2 linked regions of the Mytilus edulis genome follow. The main gene of each other region encodes a partner of the protein of the gene in region 2 in a complex. Links are inferred from orthologs where the notes say so. Each region holds a gene or a part of one and is shown on either strand. Other genes may lie near its edges.

Evidence for each region.
Region 1: uncharacterized protein (region 2) and phosphatidylinositol N-acetylglucosaminyltransferase subunit C-like share a complex: the UniProt entries of both Homo sapiens proteins name them as parts of the glycosylphosphatidylinositol-N-acetylglucosaminyltransferase (GPI-GnT) complex. The link is inferred for Mytilus edulis from reciprocal best matches to the Homo sapiens genes DPM2 and PIGC.

The regions. Positions count from the first base shown.
Region 1 is NC_092345.1:197,172-206,513, reverse strand, and holds the start of phosphatidylinositol N-acetylglucosaminyltransferase subunit C-like, read left to right. Parts: upstream 1-5,329; 5' UTR 5,330-5,346; coding exon 5,347-5,464; intron 5,465-7,261; coding exon 7,262-7,331; intron 7,332-9,342. Other genes in the region: cilia- and flagella-associated protein 157-like, read right to left, coding at 671-824, 2,357-2,506, 3,051-3,172, 4,806-4,960. UniProt on the Homo sapiens protein: Part of the glycosylphosphatidylinositol-N-acetylglucosaminyltransferase (GPI-GnT) complex that catalyzes the transfer of N-acetylglucosamine from UDP-N-acetylglucosamine to phosphatidylinositol and participates in the first step of GPI biosynthesis.
Region 2 is NC_092345.1:2,382,660-2,392,030, reverse strand, and holds uncharacterized protein, read left to right. Parts: upstream 1-5,756; 5' UTR 5,757-5,867; intron 5,868-5,981; exon of another isoform or gene 5,982-6,057; intron 6,058-6,890; 5' UTR 6,891-6,910; coding exon 6,911-7,003; intron 7,004-7,667; coding exon 7,668-7,770; intron 7,771-8,522; coding exon 8,523-8,572; 3' UTR 8,573-8,687; downstream 8,688-9,371. Other genes in the region: uncharacterized protein, read right to left, coding at 8,867-8,940. UniProt on the Homo sapiens protein: Regulates the biosynthesis of dolichol phosphate-mannose. Regulatory subunit of the dolichol-phosphate mannose (DPM) synthase complex; essential for the ER localization and stable expression of DPM1.

The sequences.
Region 1 (9,342 bases), about 2.2 Mb from region 2:
GAATATCAATTTTTGTTGATTTAATGATTACAGGTAAACCACAAATTAAAATGTCCAATGAATTTTATATTTTGTTTTGGAAATTATGCAGACTGTCAAAAACAACAAAATTAACTATCCACGAAAATACAAAGATTCTTCAATCCATGATAATTGGTACCCACAAATAATAATGAATCCCCAGCAAACAGAAGGCCATAGATATGAATATCTGGAAACAAAAATCTAGATTATTATGGACATTATGTCAAGCTATGTATAAGAATAGCATTTACTGAATACAAAGTTGAGAAAGTATTTCAAAATATGTCTAAAAAATATTATTTTCTCACTAATAATGTGTCAGCTAAACGTTTTAATTACATTGTGTTGTATTGTAAAGGGAATATTAAGCTTCTTAATGATCAAAATTGGTGCTTGTCAAACTGCTATATAACCAGTGTATTTTTTCTAACAAAACAGTTGGTTCAAAATTTTTGAAATTTTTATATTTTTGTTAAAGGGTCAAAGTAAATACTTTGTCAACATTTTATTAGAATTAAACGAGCCAAATTAATTTTAGTGAAAGTGTTAGGTACCACCTTATATCAAGAGTGAAATACCAAACTGTACCAAAATCTACCAATATTTTGTCTGTTTGAAATGTACAGGGATTTTAAACCTCACACACCTATCTTTTTCTATCACTGCCTTTCTTTCCAAGTCATAGATTTCTTTGTCATGGTCAAGATCTTTTTGATTAAGCTTTGCTTCAAGCTCTGCAAACTTCTTGTTGAGTTCATCTTGTTGTACTCGAAATTCTTCCAATGCATTCAACTTCCCAGCTGGAATGATAAAGACAAATCTTTTGCAATCACATGAAATTAGGTTTTGTGCTGAACCCTCTATTTCAGTTTTGAATTGATTTGAACGATGGAACAAGACTTTTATTGGTACAGCTAATTGTAGCTACTGTGGATTCATTTATTTTCGTGGGTACCAATTATGTGGTTTGAGGAAAATTTACATATTCGTGGATATCTAATTTCGTGGTTTTGGCAAGTCTACACTCATTCCTTTAGAAAATTTGTCATTCGTTGAACATTTGAATTCGTGGTTCTCTTGTACCAACGAAATCCACGAAAATTGGTATCCAACGAATATTAATGAATCCACAGTATTTCAATTCAGACATGTTTAAATGAGAATTTTTTTTATCAATTCTACCTGATATTTCATGCATTCTTAACAGCTAAGATAATTTTTTAAACAGTTTTCTTAATATTCTTTCCCTTGGTTGTCATTGAAGGACACTGGTTGTCACTATCATTTAGGAGATAACTGTATTGTATTTTAAGTTCCGACGGCATCAATTGGGGATTTGATGGTCGCAAATTAAGTTTACTGGCGACGCGTTTTTGAACATGTTAAATCTAATCTATATACATTTTATTCAACAGTAAGTAAACAACTTAGGAAACTAGAGAGATTTTATCCATACAAAAAAACCAGTTTTGATGTAGAGGGTACACTACTGATATGGAAAAAAACATGATGTAACTTTGCATTGTCAACTTATAAATGTTAAGCTGCTGTATAAACTATAATCCATTTATAACAAGCAATAGAGATTCAATATGATACAGAAAAATACCCATTCACTATCCTAAACAAGTTGGTCAAAAAGCCTGACTCCTATTTAGGAGAATAATATAAAATATTGGCCTGTAAATATAAGGAAAATGTTTACAGGTCCAATAAAATTTCACAAACTGTGCTGTTTAACCTTCTTGACATTTAAGACTGATTCACACTAATGTCAATCATTCTAAACATTTATTTACAAGGTACATGCATGTGAGTCCACACTTACTAGTTAATGTTAATTCTGTGTATTTACAAGGTACATGCATGTGAGTCCACACTTACTAGTTAGTGTTAATTCTGTGTATTTACAAGGTACATGCATGTGAGTCCACACTTACTAGTTAGTGTTTATACAGTGTATTTACAAGGTACATATGTGTGAGTCCACACTTACTAGTTAGTGTTAATTCTGTGTATTTTCAAGGTACATGCATGTGAGTCCACATTTACTAGTTAGTGTTAATTCTGTGTATTTACAAGGTACATGCATGTGAGTCCACACTTACTAGTTAGTGTTAATTCTGTGTATTTACAAGGTACATGCATGTGAGTCCACACTTACTAGTTAGTGTTAATTCTGTGTATTTACAAGGTACATGCATGTGAGTCCACACTTACTAGTTAGTGTTAATTCTGTGTATTTACAAGGTACATGCATGTGAGTCCACACTTACTAGTTAGTGTTAATTCTGTGTATTTACAAGGTACATGCATGTGAGTCCACACTTACTAGTTAGTGTTAATTCTGCTGAAAGTTTGTCATTTTTCTCCTGATATTCTGTTCTTAGCTGATGGATCTGAGCATTCAAGCGTTCTTTCTCGGATTCCAATGTTTGCTCCAAACCAATCAGCTGGTCCTTCAAATCATTGCATTCATCCTCTAAAATGATAAAATAGATAAATAATGTGAATATATCCAAACAAAATATGTAACTTTCAAATCCCAAAACATAATGTGGTATAGCATGGCTCATTGTTGAAGGCCATACAATGACTTATAGTTGTTAATTTCTGTGCCAATTGGTCTCTTGTAGAGACTTGTCTCATTGGCAATCATTCCACATCTTATTTTTGGAGCTCAGACAAACAGTGCAACTTGTTATGCTATTTCAGAATAACAGCAGACCCAATGCCAGGAATTTCTGGGGAGGGGGGGGGGAAACAAACTCTTTTAACAGTTACAATTCAAACAGAACGTAAACTTTAACAGTGCTTATTTGTTTTCAAGGGTGGGTGACATGCTCCCCTGGTTATGGGTGCGAACAGTGTTACTTGTAATGATAGCAAAGAAAAACAGTTGAATTTTTAATGATAGCTCAGGCTAACAGTTTAACTTTCTATCTATCTCAATTGTATTGAATCTGAGTCTGACTTCAAATTAATATTTCTATTGCTTAGATCTGAGTGTTGATGTCTTAACGTACCACTTCTATTCAGTTTTCCTTCTAGCCAGAGAATAATCTGTTCTTTATTCTTGATCTCATAATCTTTTTGTGACTCAAAAGCTCCTTTCTGAACTTCTAACTCATCACATTTTTTCTGGTACCTTAAAAAGTTATTAAAAAAACATTCATTATATTATATCCAATCTACACATGCTACATTTACATACATGTACATGTGCATGATGCATTTAGCCATGTATTTTGTCTGTATAGCCAAATCAATCATATTTTTCATGTTTGTAATATTATATAGTATTAGTCAATAATGATTTACATTTCACATGTGTATGTTAATCAGAACATAAAAGGTCAGACAATTTTTAGTTGGTAAACATATTGTCTGTTATTGTAATATAATGATCATGATAATAAATACAGTTTATATATTGATTATGTTCTGTGTTCTGTACAGTACAGTGGAGTCCCCTGTGTCCGTGCAGCCTGTGATATTGCACATTTGCTGATTTCGTCATATCAACTCACATGACTCAGTAACACAAATAAAATCTATCTTGTTATTGTTTTAGTCTTCCAAAGGCATAAAAAAGAATAAAATTGATTAAGTTGAAGAGTTAATTAATAACTGCAATCCCATGATTTACCATATATTTTGCAAATTTCCATTAAAAAATCATCATGATCAGATAAAATTTGTTTTATTTTTAAAAGTCAAATTTAAATCAGATTGAAATTTTTGCTCTGCATCCTTGGCAGTCACAGTGTGCTTAATTCAATCTCCGCTATATTTTGTGGTAAGAAATCTTTCCTTTATTCAAAATAAGCTATTTTTGAACGGCATGCACGAAATCACCGGACCTAGGAGGATTACTCTCAGCAGGCCCGTAGCCAGGATTTTCCAAAGGGGGGTTCGTTTGACTCACAAACTCGACTTTAACAGTCACAATTCGAACAGAACATCGACTTTAACAGTGCTTATTAGTTTTCAAGGGGGGGTTCGTCCGAACCCCTCGAACCCCCCCTGGCTACGGGTATGCTCAGAACAGGGGTTTCCCTAATTTTGGACACACAATACACAAAATCTAGAGAATGAAATTTAAACCATACATGTATATATACAAAGAGAAGATTTTATGAAATAATAGTATGTAATGAATGTGTTCACACAAATTTATCCAATTATTAGTTTTTTTCAGTTGAATGACAAAAATGAATGAAGTGAAGTCATAGTTCTTAGGTATGCTGATACACCGGACTGCACCGTACATACAAGTATAATTATATGTTAATCAAACCATAAAATGTCAAACAACTTTTGGTTGATAGTAATGAAATAATGATAATTTATAGATCTTCCAACATTAAATGATACATGTCATGTTACAGGTTTCGGTAAATTCGCCTACATGTATAGCATCTCATAAGGGATATTAATTGATAAATGTCAATCAGAATCTGGACCAGTTTTAAACAACATGTATATGTGGAATGAGAAAAAAACAAAGAATACATGTACAAAGTGTAAGGGATAATATTTTTCGCAGCTGTTCTTCGACCTCAAGTGTGTTTTCAGTGACAATTTTTTTTATATAAATATGGAAGTAGCATTAAAAAAGGAGCATAATCTGAGTTTTCTTGGATTCCAAAAAAAGGCCAATTAAATGACAGCAATACATTTAAATATATATGCAAGCAAATTAAGGTCAGTGACAGTATATTTGTAAAACAAAATGTTGAAAAATGATAGTGAAACGACACATTTCAAGTAAAACTAACCGGACAAGTCTGTTTTCCAAATCTCTTATTTGAATTAGATAATATTCTTTTGAAAGTTCATTTAATTGCTCTCCTGGTGGCTTAGCAGATCCACGTCCTGATTTCTTAGCACTTTTCTTTCCTTTCTTTCCACTCTTCTTCTTTTTTGGTGGCATTTTAAAAAATGTTATACAGATAAATCAAAAGAATTAAAGACAGGTCGACAGCTTTTACACAGAGCCAAATGAAAATAATATCACTTGTCAGTCGCCATATTGTTGCTACTAATGCCTTGGAAACCCTCTGTGCGTTCGACTTTCAGCTGTGACGGAATCTACAATTTTCTATTTATTATATTTGTTTTCTTTATGTTCGTCTTTAATGTGCCTTTTCAGAACAGTAATTCTAAATAAAATGAAGCACGATTAAAACTTATTTCTGTTTTCAACTAAGTATTGATATAAAATATAATCAATCTATTATTGTTTGCGGTTTTCAGACAGACCCCCAAAAAATATCTCTCGGGATTTATTTTAGAGCGCACCTTAAGTATTTATATCACATGACCACAAAAATGGTAGACAAGCAACAAAAACGATGGAGGAAAATTTTGTACGAAGACCAAAGCGTTCCAGACAATTATGTAGATTCGTCGTTTTTAGATGAACTCCAAAAGAACCGTATGATGAATTTCACAACGTATTTAAAACGAATGTAGGACAGAAAGTCACAGGACAAAAAGTCACAGACAAAAAGTCACGGACAAAAAGTCACAGGACAAAAAGTCACAATTCATTTTTACTGATTATTTTCTTTGAATAAATAACGCTTATTTCTACAAAAATATTTTTGTACTTTTCTTAAACTATTGTATATAAACCAACTTTTTAAACAAAATATATCAAAAAAATATCAAAGATTATCAAATAATTGTTGAAAAAACAAAATGTCAAAGTGACTTGGCACTTAAATGGCTTCATGGTGCCAAGAAAAACATCTTCTGCAGGATTAAAATTAAATAAATCTTCATTTTTCAAGTATAATGACACATTTCCTAAACTTAAATATGAATATATGTATTAAAAAGTAAATATTTCAAGATATATTCTTATATATTAAAACAATTGTCAATAAATTATTTGTGACTTTTTGTCCTGTGACTTTTAGTCCTACCAAATTTGTGACTTTATGTCCTGTGACTTTTTGTCCTGTGACTTTCTGTCCGTTTACCATTTATAACGGTATCGGGTCCGTTCGCCCTTCTAGTCAAATCGGCACCTAGTTAAATCGGCTACAAAATGTTTTTTTTCGGTTTTCGCTCATAGGACTGTTAAAAGGGGAGCAATGTAGATAGGACTTATAAAAAAATTATGAAATGCAAAATTATTAATAAATCTTCTGAATAGAGTAATACATAAACAACACATTATCACATATTTGTGATACAGAATTTACTTAAAATCATCCAAAATCTGCTCTTCAGGTCTAGGCAGAAACAAACTTCTCTATTACTTTGTCAATATTCACACTGAAATTCTGATGAATATGCAGTAATGCTAGTAACTGTCGTTGTTCATTGTTGATCATACATTTGTTTTCAACATACATTGTACACTGATAGAATTGAATTAGTCGAAATACATGCTAGGTCAGTTTCGTATGTCTCAGACAATGTTGAGATTCATTTGTTTGTTATATTTCCTTCAACACAATGAAGCAGATACAGCGCAAAGAAGTGATCTTCTGATAATACTAGACACAACTTCACTCTCCAGTTCCCTTATCATATGGTCTATGAACGCAAAAAATAATGAGCACTTTCAAATACTGTTTTGGCGTGTTTGCAGGGTGATTGGCTCCGGAAGTCTGTCGACCACATCGCCTCAGCATATTTTCAACGATATTGAATGGTTCTGATAATTCTAATGCGATTGGTACGTCATCTCATTCCAAACTGATGAAAATGTACACTGTAAAATGTGCTCCTAAACTACATGTCTTAGACTGAGTATTACGAATTAAAATCTTGTAAAAGATACAAGTTACTGTCTGATTTTGTCATAATCTCCAATAACCATGATTAAACTTTTATTTTGAAACCGAATGCCGTAAATTAATAATATTTCATCAATTAAAAAAGTGACAACATTATCATGATTATGTTTCCTTTAACATTCAATTTTTGCCATTTTTTGCAACTGCCTGTTAGCTTAAAGGGAGCTACGCGTCTGCATTTATAGATTGACAAATTGTATAAGAAATCAGCTTGATCACAGTATTTGACCACTAGACTAGGCTGACTTCTTATAGATTATTGAGTCATTAGGTTGTTGAGAATTGATTTTCAGGGTCTGCATTATAAATTCAATAGTTTAGACTTTATCATGTATATCTCAACAGGAGCAATGTGTATTTTAAGACCTGATATTCAAACAATGTATTACAGGAAAACATAATTTTTGTTACTTCTTTTTCAGTACATACAAGGAAGTATGATTATTGGACAGTTTGTGAACAATCAGGAGAAGTAACTCAACAGATAAGCAGGTATTAAATGTTAACTGGGTAAATGAAAGTCAGCTTTGCTCACTATTGATGAAATTTATCATTGAAATATTGAAACTTTGAAGATATGTAGATGTGTATATCGACAGGAAATTATGATTCCATAATTTATATATGATTGATGTCCTTTTGAACTTAGAATATTAACATAGTTTTTTAACATACTGCAGTAGATTTTTTTATTGCAACTCCACACAACAGAATTTATACATAAAAAAGATTCTAACAAATTTGGGTACAGACAACACATTTGGATACAGGCATCAGGCTGTGGTTTTTGAAAACACCCTCCGTTCATGTATTGCAAATGTTTGCACCTGTCCTAAGTCAGGAATCTGATGTACAGTAGTTGTTGTTTGTTTATGTAATTTATACGTGTTTCTCGTTTCTCGTTTTTTTTAATATAGATTAGACCATTGGTTTTTCCCGTTTGAATGGTTTTACACTAGTAATTTTGGGGCCCTTTATATCTTGTTGTTCGGTGTGAGCCAAGGCTCCGTGTTGAAAGCCGTACATTGACCTATAATGGTTTACTTTTTATACGACCGCAAAATTTGAAAAATTTTTCGTCCTATATTGCTATCACGTTGGCGTCGGCGTCGTCGGCGTCGTCGTCGTCCGGCGTCCGAATACTTTTAGTTTTCGCACTCTAACTTTAGTAAAAGTGAATGGAAATCTATGAAATTTTAACACAAGGTTTATGACCACAAAAGGAAGGTTGGTATTGATTTTGGGAGTTTTGGTCCCAACATTTTAGGAATTAGGGGCCAAAAAGGGCCCAAATAAGCATTTTCTTGGTTTTCGCACTATAACTTTAGTTTAAGTTAATAGAAATCTATGAAATTTTGACACAAGGTTTATGACCACAAAAGAAAGGTTGGGATTGATTTTGGGAGTTTTGGTTCCAACAGTTTAGGAATTAGGGGCCAAAAAAGGGCCCAAATAAGCATTATTCTAGGTTTTCGCACAATAACTTTAGTTTAAGTAAATAGAAATCAATGAAATTTAAACACAATGTTTATGACCACAAAAGGAAGGTTGGTATTGATTTTGGGAGTTTTGGTCCTAACAGTTTAGGAATAAGTGGCCCAAAGGGTCCAAAATTGAACTTTGTGTGATTTCATCAAAAATTGAATAATTGGGGTTCTTTGATATGCCGAATCTAACTATGTATGTAGATTCTTAACTTTTGGTCCCGTTTTCAAATTGGTCTACATTAAGGTCCAAAGGGTCCAAAATTAAACTTAGTTTGATTTTAACAAAAATTGAATCCTTGGGGTTCTTTGATATGCTGAATTTAAAAATGTACTTAGACTTTTAATTATTGGCCTAGTTTTCAAGTTGGTCCAAATGGGGGTCTAAAATTAAACTTTGTTTGATTTCATCAAAAATTGAATAAATGGGTTCTTTGATATGCAAAATCTAACTGTGTATGTAGATTCTTAATTTTTGGTCCAGTTTTCAAATTGGTCTACATTAAGGTCCAAAGGGTCCAAAATTAAACTAAGTTTGATTTTAACAAAAATTAAATTCTTGGGCTTATTTGATATGCTTTATCTAAATATGTACTTTGATTTTTGATTATGGGCCCAGTTTTCAAGTTGGTCCAAATCAGGATTCCATATGAAATATTGTGCAATAGCAAGAAATTTTCAATTGCACAGTATTGCACAATAGCAAGAAATATCTAATTGCACAATATTGTGCAATAGCAATTAATTTTCAATTGGAGTTATCTTTCTTTGTATAGAATAGTAGTTGATAATATATGTTGGAAATTTGCCAGACATGACTATGATGTCATTTTCTATTTTTATTTGCCAATAACTTTATGTAAATGACTTCATTGGAAATTTGCCAATATAAAATGTTGCTGATGAAGCTTTTTTTCCTTATCTTATCTAAAATGTTTTTAGATAATGTATGTTGGACATTTGCCAGACATGACTATGATGTCATTTTCTATTTTTATTTGCCAATAACTTTATGTAAA
Region 2 (9,371 bases):
ATTTCATGAAGATTGATAGTACTATATCTTGACTTGTATAAGTTGGTCAATGATAATCTTCATTTAATATAAAAATAAGAAGATGATTGCTAATGAGACAACCCTCAACAAGAGACCAAATGGCATGGAAATTAACAACTAAAGGTCACTGTACAGCCTAGCACAAATATCCTATAAAATGTATTTGCACAATCAGATGTATCTATGATAGTTCCATCACCATGTCAATGGTTTGCATTTGTTAGGACTCTTAAGATTAACTTAATCTTAATTTTATCATACAAGCATGTTTTGAAAGCTAATGTCTCTAGAGTGGCCTAAATAATTACAAGTCCAAAAAGTTAATACAAATGTTGAGCTGATAAAACCAAAAGAAGCAAAACCTTGACAAGAATTCAGAGCTATGCATGTGGCCTCTATAATAGAACTGAAAGCTGCATTTTGTATAGCCTAAAAATACAAACAAGCTTTGGTGAGGATTATGAAAATGTATACAAAACAAAAAAAACAAAGCATGATGCACATATAAAACAACAAAATTAAGCAAAGCAACAATGAAGGAAATTTCTTCTAAAATACACAAAACTGACCCTCATTATCCAACATAAAAATTGTATTTGTGCTGAAAATGAACCTTGGGACATTATTTTAAAAGACACCTTGATGATGTTAATGCAGTCTGCAATTTGTTTTAACCTGATCCAAAAGGTTAATCATAGTCTTTTCATCACAATGCAAGATTAAGAAATCTCTACTTAAACTACTGGTCTTATTGAAATGGACCATCTTAAGTGAGAGGAGTAAACCGTGTTACCTTGATGGATTAACACTATAACTAAATCAAAGTGCTTGATAGCACTGAACGGTAAAGATTGCTTTAATTTAACAGTGGGAAGTAAAATTAATTAATGCATTGGTTGTAGTTGATTTAACAGTAATTATAGACAAAGCGGACAGTTGTCGCATTGGCAATCATAACACATCTTTGTTTATAAAGGAAGATAACTCCAAATTTTCAAAGACGATTCTAACAATGACCATTCTATTTTTAGAACAGTTATTAAATTCATGCAACTTATAAAAGTTATGTTATTTTCTTGACACGTGTAACATTATTTTGTGCCTTAAAATTACATTGATAAATTTCTGGAAATGTTCATGGATAGGATGTCTAGAATGTTATGATCAATGCACTATATTTTGTGTATCAAAAAAGGTAGTGATAAGCCTTTGAAAAAGTCAGTCCAATAAGGTTTTGATTGAATTTCATGCAATCTTTACCTAAAAAAGAACTAATGGACTTTGCATGAAATCCTAGGGGTAGGGTGGTAAACAACTTTTATAGGAAATTGCTCAGATTCGTTTTATGCCTGGACATCGTTATTACAGTCCTATAAAAAAGTATGTCATTTGAGGAACATCCAAAATCCAAGAAGAACAATAGAAAAGAAATATTGTTTTGAAATAGTAGACAATGAGATATATACACGTAGATGTAACCATGCTAGCAGTGACTTACTTTTTTTAATTATTTCGTTGCTAGGTACCTTGTTTCCAGATTCGTTTAACTGATATAGTGTTTTTAAATATCCTGTTGAAGTTCAATTGTTCAATGTGTTAAGGTCACAGCAACACCTAACATATATGGTTACTAGATGCTTTACCAAATCATGATTGTTCTGATGACTTCCAGGAAATTCCTCAAATTTTGAATCACATCGAAATTTAGTTCAAGTGGTCCATGTCAAACATACGGTCGTAACTGTCCTCAAACTATATGGTTGACAGGCGCTTTTAAGCAGAATTGTTCCGAGAGACTTTCAGGTAATTAAAATTTGGAATCGCATCCTTTTAAAATTCAATTGTTTCATTACAAAGTTTAAGTCACTACAGTTATCAAATTTTAATTGTCCTAGGTCAAGGTATAGGTCACTAAAGATACCAAAATACACATGGTTGATTTGTCTTCTTCTTCGAATCGCATCCTTTTAATGATCAATTGTTCCATGTAAACATGCACTTTCTGTTCTTCTTTGGCTTCTTGTCAATAGTTTTACAACGCAGAAACAGTTAAAAACTTATACAGAGAAGAGCAAAAACAACAGAGATGTATATTACGACCTAATGTATAAATTGTACTTGGTGATCCTGTTGATCCTGTATAAAAAAAAATAATAAGGGTTCCGCGGAACCCAGTGTCTCGCCTACGTTATCTGTAAATCGCAGGTTCAACAAAAACGAGGGAAAAAATCAATAAAAATATTCCTCTTGATACTATCGTTTGAATGTAAGAAGCTTCTGTCCAAGTTTGGTAAAAATCCAGGATAGTTTATGAATCAAATAAATGTTTAAAAAATTTAATTCCAGAATGTATGTAATGTTAACTGGAAGAAAAACTAAGTCCATTTGTTAGTAAAATACAGATACACAGGTACAAAATTTTAACAAAATTTCCTTCTAGATACGAACAAGCCTCTGTCCAAGTTTAGTACAAACAAGAATATGTCCATAGTACATGGATGTTCCACTATCATTTTCTATGTTTAGTGGACCGTGAAATTGGAGTAAAAACTCTACTCTGGCATTAAAATTAGAAAGATCATATCATGGAAACATGTATACTAAGTTTCAAGTTGATTGGACTTTAACTTCATTAAAAACTTTAACCAAAAACTTTAACCTGAAACTTGCGCCATCATTTTCTGTGTTCAATGGACCGTGAAATTGAGATAAAATCTCTAATTTGGCATTAACATTAGAAAGATCATATTATAGGGAACATGTATACTAAGTTTGAAGTTGATTGGAATTCAACTTCATCAAAAACTACCTCGACCAAAAACTTTAACCTGAAGCGGGACAGACGGAAGAACGGACAGATGAACGGACTTAAGTTATTTGATTATTAATTGATAAGAAAGAGAAGGTGCATTCAAAACTCACAAGTCGTAAAAAAACTGACAACGTCGTGGTACAAAAAACACAGAAAAAAACAATGAAAAGAATGAACAATTTTACAATGAAGAGAACTATAAAGATTGAACTACACGAACCCATACAAAAACCGGGAGTTAACTCAGCCCCGCCCCCCCCCTCCCAAAATAAAAGGGTAAAACAACACATCAAAGGTACAATTTAAGAATTGAATGCTCTTTTTTGTAAATTAATTGCGGTGTAAAAGCGTTGACCGAAGTACATTTTGTATGAAGCGCTTCCGCGCTTCATACTAAAAATGTGCGCACGGTCAACGCTTTTACAACCCTATAAAGTTACAAAAAAAGCATTCAATACTTATAATTACATTTTTACCTATAGGATCATGAAAACACGCCTTTTATCAAGTTTTTATTTCATTTACCTGTGCACTTTATTGTGGGACCTCGTGTCATCATGATTGAAAAGTTGCATTGTGTAATGCAATTGATTAAGGAATATCACGAGATTGCTAGTTAGCCAATCAGAATAACGTATTATAATGAAACATACATCTAATGTAATTATGACTATATCATTATAATACGTTCGTTCGTCTACAACTTCACCAGACACTCGAATACAAAAAAGTTCTAAAAAGCCAAATAAAGAACGAAGACTGAGGACCAAAAATTCCGAAAGGTTTTGCAAAATACGTGTCAACCATCTGAGTATTTCTAGCGTAGAAGATTCTTAGTATTTTTAACTATTCTAGTTTGATCAACAATTAATCTATGAATATTACCATATCAATGATATTTGAATATTAGGCAGTGCTTTCGCCAAATGTGACACCATTTTACTACCAAAAGACAAGCATCAACATAAAATTGAAAACTAAAGAAAAGACTAGGCAACACCAGCCCTACCATGCAAAATCCAGCCAAAGTAACCCTAAACGTACAAAATGTGGGTATCTTAAACATTTGACACAATCTGTATGCTAGTATATTCCATGCTCAAGCCCTATTTCAATTCATCTCGATTTTGATATGGCAACACATTATAATGTTCCAGAATTCAGCGATGATATGCATGAATCCAATTTTCCCTTTATATGCGCACAACATTAATGTGGGTCCACACTTGAGAGATTATTTTTCATACAATCAAGTTAATTTGATTATCAAGAGATCCTTAGCGATGATTAAACAGACTCATCCATTCATTTTAAAACTGCTCAGTAGTATATGTATTTTAATTTTAATGGCAATTTCTTTGTTCTTTTTGTGTTTTGTGGGCTTTTTTTGTAGCTTTGTGTAACTTCGGTAAATTAAGACATGGACCACAAAATGCATATATGATGAACTAGGATGCACCGGCAGGGTAATCAGATTCCGTTCCACATGTGACATCCATCGTGTTACGCCTATAAGATCATATAACATACAAGAAAGGCTAGGGATACCAAAGGCACATTCACAAGCCAAAAATAAAATGATAACGCAGAACAGAAAATGACAAACAGACAAACAACAGTACACAGTATACAAAACCCAATATAGAGAAGCAAAGACTGCATGAGCAACACGAACCCCACCAAAAAAGGGGGTGATCTCAGGTGATCCGGAAAGGTACACATGCTTCACTGCGGCACCCGATAACAGGTATAACTCAGACGTTCGAATTCGAGGAAAAGGGGACAGGAGTGTAATCACAACATAGGAACACATTGTTGTCATCTGAGAAACAAATATTCCATAATGGTCAACCCACTTGTGATTGCGTCCGTAAAATTTACAAACTGAGACGAATTCAACTTCACCACTTGGAACTCTTCAATATATAAATAGCTTCCTTGTGAGCAGCAATCGTCTATCGTGGCAGATTCAGAAATTTTCAAAATGGAGGCCACTGACCTCATACGAGATTACCCGATCCAGTGATTACACTACATAATTAACAAAATATTTCCGTTTCCCCCTCAATTTGCCTCTTATAGTGGGAGTTATATACTTCGTAAGCTGGAAAGTCACACAGAAATGGAAAGTTCACAATTGGAAAGCTGATATCTCGTTTGTCGTTAAGTTTGGGTTTCAACCGATAATCAATATCAATTTCTGGATGTTAGTCGACATAAGATGCAGACTTAACTGTATCCTTCATCTTTAGATCGATTGGACATTGGAATGCTTTAAAACCTAAATATTTTAATATTTGTTTTGAATCTTCACACATTTTCAAAATATACACGAGCTGTTGTATAAAAAAAGTAAAAAAAGCAAAAATACCGAACTCCGGTAAATTCAAAACAGAAAATCCTTACCTCTATCGTATCTGTTGAACCCTTTTTTCTCAAGTTCGATATGATATTGATGCGTTCAACATAGTTCTTCTTCTTCTTCTTTAAGTTTCCAGTAGTTATTAATTTTTGAATTACTTTACTTTTAGTTAGAGATCATTTAGCCTACTATCTTTCTAAGAATTTCAGATACAGATCCCGATCGAAAAACACGTCCTCCAAACGTAATTAATTAATATGTTTTGTCAATCAAGAAATCAAGCATCAAGATAAAATCAGTTTTAGAGATTTTTTTAACTGACTGCATGACTTGTATCTACGCAATATGTTGATAAATCCTAGTAGCTAGTTATAATTTTCTGGAAAAAACACTTAGCAGTTGATGACCTGCCCAAGCATGTAAAATTTACACGTTCGTTTGTAAAAATAACAGAAAGATTGTAACCTCAGTCTGGGACTATAGTCCCAGCCTCAGTGGACGTGAAACAAATACCAATATAAAAAGGGATATTTTCCGGAAATTTACCTACTTTGACTTTATATTTTATACTATGAATTTAACTTCCTGGAAAAAATGTAAATAATGTTGAAACTTTGTTTTGAAGGTAATCTTAGAAACGTATTAAATACGTATCAAAATTGACCAGTCAAGGTATAGTAGGATGGATATATAAAACGTTTATCCTACAACGCATGCTTTATCCATCATACATCTATTTGTAAACAAAGGCCCTACTAAGGTCAACATCTAGTACGAGTGTACATTTTACTCTTTATGTATATATATAATATTAGCTCAGCATGTATGAGCCAGTTGTGGTTGGAACTGACAAATGTAAATGGTATGGCAAAATATGAGGCCATAAATATATCATACATGTATATATTATATTCAATCATGTAGGTCTTCATAGCAAGTTTGCCACTCTAGTATCATTGCTATTGGAAATTGTCCTGTATCACCAAGATTGTAATTCTATTCAAAGACGTTTTTTGTCAGGCTTGGTTATTGACATATGCAACACACCTGTGACCTCCTTTTATGAATAAAAGTTGACAAATAAATTTTTGTGTTCAACACTTGATCCAATTCACCTGGCTTCAGGTACAAGTCTCTTCAATTTTATGTTGAACTTTACAGACATTTGAAAGTTATGGCAATGACTTTAAAATAAACATGCAAAATTAAACCCTAAAGGTACCCAATATATTGAAAAGGTGGAACCAAATATTATAAAGATCAGAGTATATTTTGTGTTGGTTTATTTTGTTTACACCAGCTGACAAATTAAAAAGACTAAAAAATGTGTACATGTATGGCAATAAAACAAACTATATCCCTTTTGTATGAAATTAACCATAACCAATACATTTAAAATTCAAGAAACATCCAAGGAATGCAACATTACATGTTTTCCTCTCATGCCATTACAATGACTATAAACAGATAAACTGGTAAATTTAACTTGGAACACTCCTTCTTCTTCTTCCTTGCTAAGGACTGGATTCTTTAAAAGAATGTTATAAGTCCACTAGACGGAGAATGAGTCATTAGTGCATCAATGTGAAGCATTACAGAACTCTCAACTCTTTACATGTGCCAATTAAAAAACAAGAAGACATACCAGGTACACTTTATAATGACTCTAACTCAATCATTACTTTTTTTTTTCAGATTGTATACCAAGATGAAAGATGACAAGAACATTTGAATTATTGGCTGGTTGGACACTGATCACAGTGACCTCTATAGCTTACATCTATTACACAGTTTGGGTTATTGTTCTGGTAAGATATACTGTAAACTCTTATAATATTGAGTTTTTTTTTTGTGATTAATTTGACTGGCAATACAGTGTTATTAATCTAGCATTTTTGTTCATTCTTTTAAAAAAAAAACACAACAAGAAATGCACACAACAATTTCTGAATTTTCATTATGGAAAATTTCTCAAAATTTAACGCTTCTAACATATTGATGAAAATGACAATTCTATGATATTCACACCAATGTTTTGCTAATAGTTTAAAAAATTGTAAAAGTAAGAAAAGTTGTAAGTGAATTAACATTTTTGCTAAATAAAAAGGATTAAAGTCAGTACTTTGAGGAGTTTCTCTGTCAAACTATGTATCTCATTATGTGGACTTATAAGTGAGTCTAATGTACTTTCATTTAAAGCAAAACAAGAAGTCCAAACACACATTTTTAGGTTACTGGACTTAGAAATCAATTGATTCAAAACATGGTGAAAGTGGCATATATGCTTATACAACATAACAAATACCAGTAACTATAAAAAGACCTCCAAGAAAATTGAACATTAATTTAGTAGGTGGAGCACAAAAGTAAACACATTTATTATATATTTTTTTTACCTGAATATTAAATTGAAATGGCTATTTATAGCTATGATAAAACACATATTGTTTATGCAATCATTGTTATTTTCAGCCCTTTGTTGACAAAGATCAAATCTTCCACCAAGTCTTTCCAGACCACAAATATGCATTAGGTATTCCATTGCTGATGGGTGTCACTGGATTAGCTGTTATAGGTAAATATATTTTTATTTGTTTGAAATCTAATGTCATATTGGTAAAAACATTTTTTTTTTTTTTTTTTGCCATATTTTAAACAAGATGTTATTGTTCTGTTTGATTTTGAAGTTATTGGCACAGTTCTAGATTATTTCATAACTTTTTAATTTATATTCAGCCTAAAACAAAGCTAATTATTCTCTATAAATGAATTATATAACCATCATCAAGACATGCATTTTTTTGAAACCTTAAAAGGTTTAACTTTACATGCTTTAAGTAAAGAAAGGAATGTGTGCTGTTCATACGAGACAATTAGTACTTTGTTATTGTTTCCCCTCAGAATCCATCAAATTTTATATCATATGAATAGAACTGTAAATTCAGAAATAATTTCGATGTTTTTATTGTCAGATGGGAAAAATGATGGAAATGAGAAATAAAATGTTCAAATATTTCTCGCTGCATTGAAAACCCCATTAGTGGCCTTCAGCTGTTGTCTGCTCTTTGATTGGGTTGTTTTCTCTTTGAAACGTTCCCCATTTTCATTCTCAATTTTATTAATAACAAAATACGGATTCATGTTGGTGGTGATAGCCATTCAATTCCTGAGTGTAACAATTCACCAAAACAATATGCATTGTGTAGTATGTTTCTTCAAAGCACTATTAACAACTGGGATTAGCCCATTTTGCCTTTTTCAATAATGTGTTAAATAAACAACTGTAAGAAGAATCTGGTTAATCATTACTTATGTTTGTTATTGTAGGTCTATTTGTATTACTGACTTGCAGAGGACAGAGAGTTAAATCAAACTGACAGATTGGTTATTTACAGTCGATCTAACAGAATGTACAACAGATATTCATTGAAACATTAACGTCTTATTATAGTGCAATATTCTTTTATTTTTCCAATAAAATATTGACATGAACATGTTCACTATATAGTATTAAAGTGTTGAACACAAATATATATGACATTTAGAGTTTGAGCAATATTAAAATAATACACAGGTACGCTGTACATGTATTGGTAATTTAATCAACATTTCTATCTTTAAAGTAGGTTAAAATATACAAAATGAGGCGAAATGCCTTTATGAAAACCCGGTCATTTTGGTGTTGGAAAGGACAAAAGTGACTGCATAACTCGTCTTGGTGTTTCTAATGGCTGTTGTGATTCTTCTGTAAGAAAAAACATTATATTTGAGCATATTTATGTGAAAGAAGAACTACATAAAACATGTTATATGTTTAAGTTCAAGAAGATTATTAATTATGGTAAACCCTTCCAATAGTAAATCTCAAGATGAATGCAAGAAAATTGTCAATAATAAAAAGAGATGTAAGCAGGTATGCATTGATGTGAGACAGCAACCTAATGACACAGATAATCAAAAGACATGTATAAAGTAACATACAATTCAGCGCTACTAAAGATTAATCTTTAACCATCTTTCTAGTTGACATATAAGGCATTGGCATAAATTGTTCAGTTACCAATATCTGCCTTTTACAGAGACCTTTTTAATGTTCACCTTGAATCTATGAAAAGTAGATGTTATTATTATCTCAACAAAATAACTATGCAACAACATAGTAAACCAAACAATCTC